Caenorhabditis elegans: one gene and its partner. The protein of the gene in region 1 interacts with the protein of each later gene in a pairwise test. Each region holds a gene or a part of one and is shown in the gene's direction. Other genes may lie near its edges.

Region 1 (7,964 bases):
ATGTTTTAAAAAACTAAAATAAATTTCAGAACCGTTAAATGCTCCAATAAAGTTTCCAGAAACTAATTTGAAACATAAATAGTTTTTTTTTAATTTATATTTCTCAAAATATCCTCAATGAATGCTCGAAGATATATTTAAATTCGCTATCCCAAACTTACCATAGAATCGAATATTTATCCGAATAATCAAACAGCCAGATTCACACTTTTATTTCATCAAATTCCCATTTCCTCGGTTACCGCCCAGACATTTTTTTTGTTCATCCGGTATTATTTGAACTCATCTATTGAAATAAATTATTCAAAATTCACTTCTCTTTATATGATTTTGATTGGTGAACCCTTTTCCTTAAAATTCGATTAAGTTGAGTTACTAATTTTAAAACCACCAGTAAGTTTTTTTTTTAAATTAGTTTTAAAATTTTGATTTTAGAATTAACAATATTTTAAGTTTTAAAATGCATATAACAATGTCGGTTAATCATTTTCGAACAGCTTATACTAGTAGATTTGATATTTTGATAAATTCAGTTGAAAAAAAAAAGATAAGGTTCGAGTCATTGTGGCTACCAAGTGATTAGCAACTGCCACATTTGATTAAACCAACTGACATCTTTTCTTTTTTTTCGGGCGCTGAAGCAGAGAACAACTACGGAGAACAGTGTTCATAAGATCAAATGTCGGTTCAAAAATATTTAATTAAACGGAAATACTTGATGTTAAAATGTTTGGGCTAATTGTATCAAAACACAAAATTTTAAGGTTTAGAAAATTCTTTATTTGGTTTTGATTAAGTTAAACCTAATATTTTTCTCAAACTTCAAGCAGTTACTGCAAAAAAAAAACACAAAAACACAATTGAATTCAAAAAAATGTAAAGAAAAATAACAGAACTTACAAGTTAGTGCTGCATTTTTAAGCGAAAAACGTTCCGAATTCTAACTGAAGTAATGAGAATTATTTCATATAGGCATGTATTTCTAACGATCAAATAATTTGGAAAATGAATGATATTTCCTAGAAAAAATTAAAAGTGTGGGAAAAAATATTTTTAAAAAAATAAATGTAATATTTTCTGATAGTGAGGTATTTTATGAATTCTAACCTTTGAAATAGGATTTTAAAAATGTTTTTATTATTCCATAATATTTCATATGTAGAGACAAAATCTGAGAAATAAAATTTTAAAATTAAAATTTTAATGTAATCCTGCTAGAACATATAGTTTTATATATAGTTCGCGACTTCAGTTTCTAGACTTGCACTCAAAAAAGAAATAAATTGTCTTCCATCTTCCATCCACAATAATTGAAAGCAAAAACGAAGCACAAACTCACAAATACACACACTTTTTTCTCGGATCAAGATTTTCCTAGCAGAAAATCCATCGTCGTTTTCGCTTATTATTACAGACCAGGAAGACAGTAAAATGTTATCACCAACACCACTTTTTGCAGTGTAAGTTGCTCTATTACTTTTTATCGCTTTCAGAGAGGGTATTCCTGATAAATTTTTTGTTTCGTTTATTATATGTTTAGGGTCTGTCTGATTTCGGTTTATGTTACTTTTTTAAGCAAAAAAAAACTTGAGCCATTTGTGTTTTCATCATAAGCATTTTATGTTTGCTCTTTGATTATAACTGTATTCTTTTTGATGGAGTGTTCTGTTGAGCATGGCGAATGAAACCAAAACAAACTGAAATTTTGTTTTTGTCAAATAATCATAGTAGTAAATGTTTTGATTTTCCACGTATCGATTAATGAATAAACCGATAATAATAAAAAAAGTGAAACCAGCAGTTGTTTCTACTTTATTTTTTTTTGTTGGAAGCCTTATCACTGACAATTTGCTTTTTCTGATTTTGCATGTTGTTTCAATTTTTCAACAAACTTTATATTCAAATTTTCAAATTTTCAGTTACAGAATTCAAATGGAAACTGCCAACTATTACTTACCTTCACCACCGTATTCTTCCACTTCCAGCTCTGATTCCAGAGGTGGGACATTTTCAAAAAAAAAAAACACATTCCAACGAGTATTTTTAGAAAGTCGTATGAATACACCCATACCTACCACCTACTCTGAAGAAAATGTGAACAGTTTATTTCATCTTATGCCAGATAATACTGACCAATGGATGACGTCACAGAAAAATTTCTGGCAGGAAGGTTTGTTTTCATTTTTGACTGTTCTCTATGTTTCACAATATTTTGACAACTTAAAAACAAACATGGGGGGGGAGGGGAGAAAACTTAAAATAATTTATGAATCTAATATATCTTGAAAAACGAGTTGTATTTTTCCTTTCTTTTTACTTTCCAATCCACTTCTGTTTTGATTAAACAGTCAAGACAAAGAAAAATAATACAATTGGGGAAACGTTTAAGAATTAAAAATTATGACCGACCGCTGTAACTTCTGATAAAAGGATTTGTTTTTTTGGAAAATTGAACGAATTTTGGAAAAAAAACTTTGGATTGTTTTAACTACTGTCATTATTTAATTGCGTATATTCTTACCATATTTCCTATCCTTGCTTCTTGACACAGTATCCTTGACACAGTTGAGCAATTTGGTACGGAGCTCAGGTGAGAAGGAAGCTAGATGTCTATATTATATTGCTAATAGCTCTCATGATTTGAAAAAAAGTCAACATATTTTTTCATTTGATGCGTCTGCTCCATTAAAAAAAAGGATTGAAGGACGATCCGTTCTTCAAGTGCTATGCACTGCGGATCTGGGATTCAGGTACACTGCCTGGTGGTGATCCCTCTGGGCTGTAATTTGAGCCACGTCCTAGCCGGGGACTGTGGCCGATAATCCAGTCGTGGATTGCTCCACTTCCCAACAGAGGCTGGGTGAACCTAGGGGGTGAGGCCGGACTTGAACTCGTGACCTCCAGACTGCTAGCGGCCACCACTACCGACTGAGCTATCTGCCCCCCCCCCCCCCTTTGTTTCGAGTTTGTGATAAATTTTTTCAAGATCTTTGATTGAATTGAATTGAAACAAAATCATGAGATTTTTCAATGCTTGTCGTCCTCTCAGTTAGATGTATTTTCTGCGATTCGATTTTATTGTCTTACAAAATCGCATAGCTCCGCTTGAATCAAGAAGCATCTATGTCCTTGTACAGTAGTTTAGATTTATAGATTTGTGTTTCACTAAAAATCAATTACCAAGATTTTAAGTTAAGGTCTTCCCACTTTAATATAAATTAAACTGAGTAATATGAATTTAATTTAATCATGTATTAAAGACAATGTATTGTCAAAAAAGAATTTACACAAATACACTGATTTAATCGAACATTTTAGTATTTGAAAAATTTCAGTCAAAGTTTTGATAAATTGCCAAACTTTATAATTTTTTTTTTTGAAAACTTGACTTTCGGAGAAATTTCCTAGACTGCTACAGATTTGAACTTCCACAATGTTCAAATACAATAAGAGTAAAAAATTAATAAAATACAATATAAAACTCAAAAAATAGTTTTTAGTTGAATTTCAAAGTTGTTATGGATGAAATCTGTATAATTGCTATTGTTTAACAGTTTATGAGCAACAATTTTAAGTTATACTATTTTATTTAGAGTACCATAGGGGTTATATTGAAAACAATGTTCCTGTGACAAATTTTCATTAGTGTCAAAAAACATGGTAATCCAATTAGCAAAATAAAAAGAATATTAGACTTATTTTAGGCTTTGAGACATGCATATTTGTTCCTGAACTGAGTCGCTACCTCATTCAGATAATGATGGTATACCATGTGGTCTTCCATCACTATCAATTTCACTTGTACTTTGGTAATTTGGTAACCCTTTTACACCGAAATGCCGATGGACATATCAAATGTGAAGACATGTCTATTTTGTTTCTACTGTTTCAACATTCACTTTTTGCAAAATGTGACACGTTGTTTCACGGTCATCGTCGTCGACAAAACGAGAGGGGCCGCTGATGGGGGTACGGTCTTTTCGTTGACGTCTTCTCAATCTTCTTCTCGAAAATTGGACACTTCGTGCGCACGATTGCGGCCCTATCTTCTGCCTCAATCACAACTTAATCATTATCGACTGCGATTGTTGCGACGGGCCGGGAATGTCTGCCTCCTTCTTCTTGACGCGTTGACGACATCTTCATCCTTCTCCATTCTCTCTTTCCGTTTTCCTCTCCGAACAATTTGTAACCCGTTGCGACGACGAGACCTATGTTACTGTGGCGATGAGGGGTAGAAGGAGAAGGATTCTGAGCGTACGCGCTGCTGTTGGCCTCCGGATATCAACTGATATTTTGTGTTGTTGGGAGTGACAAGAACAATTGCTTTCTCTTCCCGAATATTGTCGTTGTCTTCAACAATTCACAAACTCACGACCTCTTATGGGCGGAGTAAAAGAAGGCGGCAACTGAGAAAGTGATTTCTGTGTATCATTCTTGTAACTGGACTGCGAACTGTATTCCCTATCTTATCTTCAATATTTTCTTTTCTTATCATTAAGGGTTTCAAACTTTTTCTCCACTTAATCTAGTCTAACTAGAGGACGGGATTGGGGATTGCCCCTATTATGATCTTTCCAACTTTATTTTAGTTAACAATCTTATCACGACCCATCATGTCTAGCCTGATAACAATGTGTTAGTTATCAAATTTCGTAGAATTTGGCGCTGGCGCCATTCCTCCTACGATTCGCTGATAAGGGATAGGTGACGGAAACTAAAACTGATTATATCCGAAAAATCCGTGAAAACTAATGAAAAAACAAAACCGTGGAAAAAGAATCTACCGTATCCCGCTTGTACTTTGACCATTCGTTCTGCAATGTGACTTGCCAGCAACTAAAATCAATGGCAACACCACAGTACATTGCTATAAAAATACTGATCGGGAGAGAAAAAAGAAATGGATGGTACCTCTTTCTTTTTTGGGCAGTATGAAGTTAGAGACAAATATTCAACCTCCCCCCCCCCCATTCTCTTCATCCTCTCTAACCCCGTCTTATTGTTAACAGTCGCCATCAGTCCATCGTCTTCTCCTTCTTCTTCTTCTATTCCTTTTCTCCTCTTTCGTCCCGACCGGCCAGTAGTATCGTCTTATTTCTCGAGAAGGGCGGCGCAAGACAAGTTGCATGGTCACTTGTATACCGTAGTATTACCGTGAATCGAATCATCACAATCCGCGCCCGTACACGCCCGATATCATTTCTCGAATGTTAAACAGCAATTTTTCAGTTGATAACGTATCATACTACTAATTATTTAGATTAACAAGATTTTAGCGTATCAATTTTTATCAGTCAAGTACACTGTTCACTCAAATGAAATACCAATTGAGATATGATGTAGACTAATTAAATTTTAAAATAGTAATATCTTTATATATATATATTGTGCCTGATATTTCCCAATTCACAATTTTTTTGAGAAGCGAGGTCATGCTCCTAAAATCGTCAAGAATGTGTCATCACAAAATACACATAGACTGTTTCTCCAGTGCCATCTTCCAAACAAACTCTTTTCTTCTAGTACTTCTCATGCTCGATTCGATACACAAAACTGAGAATGGCATGCTTGTACAACATGCTTGTAAATCTTGACTCCCTCTTAAAGAATAAAAAAGGTTGCTCATCCATGATTCGTATTGGCAAAGCTAACACACAACCACCGTTTTATGAGTATGCATAGTCACCTCTCTTCCTATTTGTGTATTCTTTGTTGCATTTGCCGCGTTTCGTTTTTTCACTCCCACGTTAGTTTTTTTTTGTTGAGTTTTCAAACTTGAAACCTTGCAGGCTCGCCTTCATCGTCGGAATACCTGCATCAACAGGCTGTCCAGCCATCTCAGCAAGCTCGGCTACCTGGTATTTCAAACTTCATGAAGGACTCTCAACTTTCCGTGAAACCAGCTGCATATTACTGTAAGTTGAGCGCGGCTGACCTTCGGTCTTAACCGCAATGCCAACGCGCAGTAATCAGTCCGCGCGGGATCGTATCTTTTTGGTGTACCGACAAAGAAGTTTAGGAGCTACTTTCGTATGTGTCAAGCAATTTGGAATAATTGTGGTATATAGAAATATCTAAATAAGAAAACAGTGCTATTATAATTATTGTCTTAAAAAATTGTTCCTCGAAGTATACTGCCATCCGTCAGGTGTATACTTCTATTTCTATTTTTTTTAGCTCTCTCAGCTTAACAAAATTTTTTTAGAGGGCCATTTTGAGGTGCTGAATCCTCAAAGAGTGTTTGTAGGTAAATTTGGAACTACTTGTTTTCGCCGTAATCAGAATAAGTAATCATTTGATATTGATCTTCCGAAACGCGCATTTTGAGACTCTTAACTATTTTTATACCAAGTTACTAATGTTTTCCAGCTCAAGGTAGTCCAACGATGAACGATTATCGAGTGGAAAAAGTGGCCAACACACTACTAGATCCATATGTTCAACTTGACCAACCGACCTATGCGGACTTCACTAATGCGTAAGTGCACATTCAATTCTGAACATTGTTCTTTTTCCTTACTAACTTTACTCTATTTTTTTTTCAACAACTTTTCTTATTTGTCTCGCATTGTATTATCAAGGTCACTCAAATAACCAACTGTAATCAATCATCGCGACCGCAAAAAGAATAGAAACTTCCACCAGAAGTTGTCATTATCATCTTCTTCTACTCCTTCATCATATTGAAATTGTCATCCATCATCTTCCAATATTCTATTCCTTAATGAACCCGTTGTTCTATTCCAGACAGGTACTGAACCATCAGCAAGAAATGCTCCAGATGAACTTCCCAACACCATTATCCACAAGTTATATGAATACAGCACAAGTCACACAGACACATCAAATGCCGTTCAATATTTTTGAATTGGTACGTCACATTGGTAGAAACATTTTAAAAACTAAAAAACTAAACTAGGGCTAGATACTTCAAATGTTCATATGATCGCATCAGCTTTTTTTGAGGGTATTAATTGGAATAATTGTGATAGTCTCAGGCACCTTATTGATTAATTGAAAATTTGCCTTAAGTTTTCGAACAGTAAGCTGCATGATCTGTTCGTGTTTAAAGTCTGAGCTGTTCAAAAACCTGTGCAGTATTAAAAACATCGAAAGTTGAATTTTCACAGTGCAGGGATTTGTATACTCCGTTATTTTAGAGCGATCAAACTTCTTGACAATATTGATATTTTTTATCAATTTGAAAACGTTCTAGCAGTTTTAAATGCCCGAAAAATTTTAATTCTCTACTATTTTCAGAACCTTTCAAACTTCGCAACATTCCAACCAGCCTGTGACACTCCCCTTCCACTTCTCAACAGCTCACCAACGCATCCATACACAACAATGTCAAACTTCACACCTCCACCGCAAGACCCGCTTGTCGCCGAGCCGAAGCCGATGAAAAAAAGAATGGCAGTACGCAACATACTAGGTTGATAACTAACTAGATCCGATTTTCAGGCTGTACAATGTCATCAAAATTCCATCTGCTCAAATTGCAAAACACGTGAGACGACGCTGTGGCGACGAAATGGAGAAGGAGGTGTCGAGTGCAAGTGAGTGATTGATTTGATCATACGGGACTGTATCTATGTGTTTCAGCGCCTGCAATCTCTACTTCCGGAAAAACAACCGAAAACGTCCACTGTCTCTTAGAAAAGATGGAATTATGAAGAGAAACCGACGTCCTAGAAATGAGTCTCCAAACTCTGCAATCAGGAATACCCATCAGAGACATGGACACGCAGCTGCTTGTTGAGCAATTTTAGTTGTCTAATTTCCCAATTATTTTTTTGATTTTGAATCAATCAGTTTTCGAATTCAATGTACACAATAAGCTTCTCCGAATATGCCAAATTTCCGACGAACCTCCCACGACTGAAACTTGATACCTATCCTCTGTAACCTAGTAGCTCTGGTAGAGTATCTTGCCATTCGCAATGATCTAATCTCATTTT
Region 2 (6,093 bases), on another chromosome or scaffold:
GCTGCTTCAACACTTAAAGATATGTTCTATTGATGTGACATACGTGACCGTTGGCAGATAAGCAATAAACCAGGAAAATGTCTGAAAATTAGCTATTTCCCTTTCTTTCAACTTGTGCCACTCTCTCTCTCTCTCTCTCTCTCTCTCTCTCTCTCTCTCTCTCTCTCTCTATTTTTCTCCGATTCCATCCTCTCCTCCTCTTCCCATTCACCTGTTATGATCATTTATCGTCACTGGCGCCGAAGAGACGCAGAGTGATGGGTATGTGGAGGTAGAGAACACATATGGGCACATCCCCCTTACACAAATTAGGTGTGACGGCTTCGAATTAAATTGATCGATGAGCAGTCCGCACCGATGGGACAGTTCCCGGCATATTGAACAAAACAGTGTCTCAGGCTGGTTAAGACACAATTTTATGCTACACGGTGTTGTCACGTAGATTGCGGTTGGTAGAGTTTGCAGGGACGCAGAGAGGCTAGAGACTTTGGCTGTCTGCACTCTCTCCTCGCCTTCTCACCATGTGGCCGCGAGATATATTGATGGCCGAGTTTTCTCCATTCATAATGAAACAAGTCCCCCGGATGGCCAGAAATGGTTTTTATAACTTTGTTTGTGGGTGACCTAGTTCTCTCAATTGTTTCAGATAATTTAAACTATTTTGCAGAATGGACTGTTCACATTTCTCTATCATTTTATTTTTTGCTCGCTGAGCATTTCTGATCTTTTGATGATGTACTTTTTTACTTCCTTCGTCATTCCCACCCTGAACGATAAACTAATTTCCCTTTCGATTAATGCTTTTTCTTTTCCAAAATTGCACTTTTATCATTTTCAAAGAAGAAAAAGAGATGGCATGACAATTGTCAGATGATTCTGAGGTTCGACTTTATTAAAATTAGCAATGTTTTTTTTTTATGTTATGGAGAATTTTTTAAATAGTTCTCCACTGACTCACTGTTGAATAATTTTTACTTGTAGAATTGTTTCTGTGGGAGAAGCATTCAAAAATTAATCACATCTATTTTCAGAATTCCACTCCTTATTTTAGTTGTTTGTTGTTACATGTACTTATGTACTTAGTAATTGACACATTGCACAATTATTTAAATGCGTGGTAAAGTGCACAAAACAAAGAGTATAAGAATATAGTTTGGTTTTCATAGTTGGAATGCTGGACTGATTGCTGGAATGTTGGAATGTTTGTTGTGGTAGGTCGGTGTGTCTGCTGTAGTTAGGGAGTTTTCCCTAAATCCAAGTTTTCAAACACACTTCATCCTTTCCTTGAAAGCACAATTTAAAAAGAAATAAATCATATAATTGGAACATTTATTTTTAAATTGAGATCCCATTGCTGTTTGATTTGTCCCTTCTTTCTGATCTTCATCCTTAATCGTCTTCTTCCGTTGTCACCTCGAATCACAACTTCATTTATTCTTCATTATCTGATTATCACCAACCGTTCTAAGTAAGCACCTCCCATTTTCTCCATTCAGCTCTCCCGTATTCTCTGCTTCCCGTGACTCCGCCTCTTTTTTCAACTTTTTTGTGGGTTTGCTATCATTTTCTATCTCTCAATCTTTGTCACTTTGTTCTCGAAAAACGTCTGAATTGGTCGAATAATGTTTCATCCAGGTATGACATCTCAGCCGTCTACTTCTAACCAAATGTATTATGATCCTTTGTATGGAGCAGAGCAAATTGTACAGGTGAGCACTATATTGTAGGAGACAGTTCAAGAGAGAGCGCGAGAGAATGAGAGAATATGAACATTTTTGGGGAACACTTATCTATTATAGTAGTCTAGTAATTGCTTCTGATTCTTAAAATACAAATAAAACTGTCTTCGTGCTTTGCATTTAGAAACTGAAGTACAAAATTCAGACAATATTAATTTTAACTATTTCAGTGCAATCCAATGGATTACCACCAGGCAAATATTTTATGCGGAATGCAGTATTTCAACAACTCGCATAATCGATATCCGGTTGGTTCAGTGATATTTGAAAACTAATTCTCTCAAAAATAAAATGGACCTCATTTTACTATTTTTCTGCATATGTAACGAAAAAATCAATAAACTTATATCCCAGTGACCAAATCGATAAGCTTTTCAAAATTTATTAAATCAAAAAATTTCAGTTATTACCTCAAATGCCACCACAGTTCACAAATGATCATCCATATGATTTTCCGAACGTGCCGACAATAAGTACTCTTGACGAAGCGTCTTCTTTTAATGGATTTTTGATACCTTCTCAACCATCTTCATATAACAATAATAACATTTCTTGTGTATTTACGCCTACACCATGTACATCATCACAAGCTTCATCCCAACCTCCACCTACACCTACAGTCAATCCAACACCGATTCCACCGAATGCTGGAGCAGTTCTCACAACTGCAATGGATTCATGTCAGCAGATTTCACATGTTTTACAATGTTATCAGCAGGTAGAAGGGGTCTTTGAAAAATAGAAAAATTTTAAGTAAAAATATAATGTTTTAAAATACTTGTTTTCCTATTAAAATACATTTCAAGTTGTATGGATTTTAAGTTTTCAAAAAAAATTGCTGAGAAAGTTGCATATTCATATCTGCTTGGGATTTATGAAAATTTTCGAACCAAAAATTTAGATTAAACTGAAACTTCTCTACATTTGAAAATAACGTACTAGACTTGAAATTTTTATTTGATTTCCTCTGATGAAATCATTGAATAAAACTCTGAAAATTTCAGAGCTCCAGAATTTTTTCTTTCTTGTAAACTTTAACATAAAACTTTAGGAAAGAAAAAACTCTGGAATTTTTACAAAATAGTTCTGAAACTACTTTTCCACTTTTATTTTTCAGAACAATTTTGAAAAAGGTATTCCAAAACTTGTCAAGCAAAACAAAAGAAGTTTTAATAATTAAAAAAAACTCCAAACTACAAAACAAACATTGTGGGTACGGCAGGCGCCAAGATAGCTGTGGAATTTGAAAACTGGAGCATTGAAAGAGAATTAAACAATTTACACGTGTTTCAGGGTGGAGAGGACAGTGATTTTGTACGGAAAGCCATCGAATCTCTTGTCAAAAAATTGAAAGACAAACGAATTGAATTGGATGCATTGATTACAGCAGTTACTTCAAATGGAAAACAACCAACTGGATGTGTTACTATTCAGGTTTGAAATAATACAACCTTTTGCTTCTGTACAGTAACCTAAAATTTTTTATTTTATGCTTGGAATTTTCGAAAATTTCAAAATTCCAGATATAAATTTCAGCAGTTTATGGGTATTTCAAAGAGAAAAACATGTTGCTTGCCAACTTTCTAAAATAACCAACAAAATTTTCAAATTTTTTTTCGTGAATTTGAAGTAAAATAATAATGTCAAAGTTTTTTCCGGTTTGAACATTTTAAATGGATTTTTGTTAGTACTTCCGATTCTTCAATTTTAAATACAGTTATCATCTTTAAAAGTTTAGAGATCCTTGGATGGACGCCTTCAAGTTGCTGGACGGAAAGGTGTTCCACATGTAGTTTACGCAAGAATATGGAGATGGCCAAAAGTTAGCAAAAATGAACTTGTGGTACATGAAAATGTTTGAACTCGGAAATAAACTGAACTATTCCAGAAATTAGTTCAATGTCAAACTTCATCAGATCATCCTGATAATATTTGCATTAATCCTTATCACTACGAAAGAGTTGTCTCAAATCGGATAACAAGTGCAGATCAATCACTTCACGTGGAGAATTCACCTATGAAGAGCGAATATTTAGGAGATGCAGGAGTTATTGATAGCTGCAGTGATTGGCCGAACACACCTCCTGATAACAATTTTAATGGTAAGAGTTGAACTCCAAAACTGTAAGTAGAGGTGGCTGCTCTCTCTCTCTGACTTTTATGCCTGCCTACGTACCTTCTAATACTTATTTGTTTGATATGGATGTTTAGTGAAGATAAAGGGTAGATAGAGGCATTTCTCATCTGCCCAAGATGAGCATGAATATATTTAATACAAAATCAACACTGAGAATTTTAGAGACCGATTTTAAATGTGACCCAATTTTTTTCAGGAGGATTTGCACCAGATCAACCTCAGCTAGTCACACCGATTATTTCTGATATTCCGATAGATCTCAATCAAATATATGTTCCAACACCTCCACAATTACTTGATAATTGGTGTTCAATCATTTATTATGAACTGGATACACCCATTGGTGAAACCTTTAAGGTATGTTTTTCTATGAAATCTGATGACTATTCATTCATGGTGCAAATCGCCTAGAAATTTTTGTGAAAGAGCGTGATTCTATCAAAAATGTGCAATGGCGTTATTAAATAATTTTAATTTTCTAAATTTTAGGTCAGCGCCCGCGATCATGGAAAAGTAATAGTAGATGGTGGAATGGATCCACATGGAGAAAATGAAGGAAGGTTATGTCTTGGAGCACTTTCAAATGTTCATCGAACAGAAGCTAGTGAAAAAGCAAGGTAATTTTAATTCAGGATCATGAAGAAAAATATAACACTGTTTTGCAGAATCCATATTGGTCGTGGTGTTGAATTAACCGCTCACGCCGATGGCAACATCTCTATCACTTCAAATTGTAAAATTTTCGTCCGATCCGGGTACCTAGACTACACTCATGGATCCGAGTACAGTAGTAAAGCACATCGATTCACTCCGAATGAATCTTCATTTACAGTATGTTCCCATTCAGGGAGTTTTACAAATGATAGAATGTTACAGGTATTCGACATCAGATGGGCCTACATGCAGATGCTCCGACGTTCTCGATCAAGCAATGAAGCAGTACGAGCACAGGCGGCAGCTGTTGCTGGATATGCACCGGTTAGTAGTAATTTGCAAGCAAAAAAACGACTCGACGCACCATATGGTGCATCATATGATCAGTGTACTGATTTTCTGCACGGACCCAATGCCATAGTTCACTTAAAAATTATTAGTGAAACTGACTAAATTTGCGACCAGGGTGATGTATTATTTCTGAGAATCAAAGATTCAATTTACCCTGATGATGCTTCGGGCATCAGCTAGCTAATTGTACACTTTTAATTCACAGACTCAAAGCATCATATATCACGAACACGAACAAGCAAAGCCTGATACCCAAGTTTAAAAAATATTTAAAAATTCAGATGTCCGTGATGCCAGCGATAATGCCTGACAGTGGAGTTGACAGGATGCGTCGTGACTTCTGTACAATTGCGATTTCATTTGTAAAAGCTTGGGGTGATGTCTACCAGAGGAAAACTATTAAGGTATGTCGACTACTCTATAAGAACTAGTCACCAATGACTTTTTTCCAGGAAACCCCATGTTGGATTGAAGTAACTTTGCACCGTCCTCTACAAATACTGGACCAGCTTCTCAAAAATAGTTCTCAATTTGGAAGTTCCTAACACTTATTTTTTATTTTTCTTCAATAATGATATCTACCTGTATTTACGTACCCCAGCAGTTTCTCATATTCATGTGCGTTGTAAAATCTCCTTTTTTGAATTTTTTCACTTTGGAAATAAAGTTTTTAGCATAGTAAATACAACCACACTATGTAAAAATAGGTTGCAGGAAAAATCAAAGAAATTTTAAAAAAATGAGCGGTTGAGTTTTCTCTTTTGGTGGCCGCGTTGACGAAATGGAAGAATCAAACCATATGCACCATTGTCATCATATTTACTTACCCAGAGCCATTATGGTTGATTGAAAATTCATGGTTGAATTCTCACATATGGAATATCATTCCCACGAATTCCCACTAATTTCTTCAATGAAGTTCAAAATAAGAGTGCTCGACGGTCTCTCCCCTCTGTGCCAGTGACAAAAAAAGTGCCCCATTCCGGGAGAATTATGTCCCTTGAGAACCATTTTGCCAGGGGCCGTGAGTGTGTCGCCCCCTTTCTACTCTATCCTAGTGGCCCTTTGTCTGTGCGACACAAAATATTCCAAAAGTAACACTATCATTTTTATTGTCTTCTCCTACACTCATCCCCATTTCACTGAGCCATTCCTCTGAATGTTGCAGTTTTATGTGCAATTTTTTTCAGAAATCACAGAGTTTTTCTTTTT

What was found.
Region 2: the proteins of elt-3 (region 1) and sma-4 interact in a two-hybrid assay, tested with the Caenorhabditis elegans proteins (one large-scale study listed by BioGRID).

What each region holds. Positions count from the first base shown.
Region 1 is NC_003284.9:13,932,951-13,940,914, forward strand, and holds elt-3 (Transcription factor elt-3), read left to right. Parts: upstream 1-1,932; coding exon 1,933-1,999; intron 2,000-2,047; coding exon 2,048-2,170; intron 2,171-4,037; exon of another isoform or gene 4,038-4,309; intron 4,310-5,792; coding exon 5,793-5,918; intron 5,919-6,378; coding exon 6,379-6,481; intron 6,482-6,750; coding exon 6,751-6,874; intron 6,875-7,263; coding exon 7,264-7,422; intron 7,423-7,467; coding exon 7,468-7,562; intron 7,563-7,608; coding exon 7,609-7,765; downstream 7,766-7,964. UniProt on the Caenorhabditis elegans protein: Transcription factor. Required, in concert with signal transducer and transcription factor sta-2, for up-regulation of the vacuolar H(+)-ATPase and acceleration of lysosome maturation at molt.
Region 2 is NC_003281.10:5,814,640-5,820,732, forward strand, and holds sma-4 (Dwarfin sma-4), read left to right. Parts: upstream 1-1,592; 5' UTR 1,593-1,637; coding exon 1,638-1,709; intron 1,710-1,909; coding exon 1,910-1,987; intron 1,988-2,142; coding exon 2,143-2,457; intron 2,458-3,032; coding exon 3,033-3,173; intron 3,174-3,477; coding exon 3,478-3,582; intron 3,583-3,627; coding exon 3,628-3,841; intron 3,842-4,072; coding exon 4,073-4,233; intron 4,234-4,365; coding exon 4,366-4,493; intron 4,494-4,541; coding exon 4,542-4,707; intron 4,708-4,752; coding exon 4,753-4,854; intron 4,855-5,162; coding exon 5,163-5,285; intron 5,286-5,333; coding exon 5,334-5,426; 3' UTR 5,427-5,558; downstream 5,559-6,093. Other genes in the region: R12B2.7 (Ovule protein), read left to right, coding at 595-615, 668-874. UniProt on the Caenorhabditis elegans protein: Involved in TGF-beta pathway.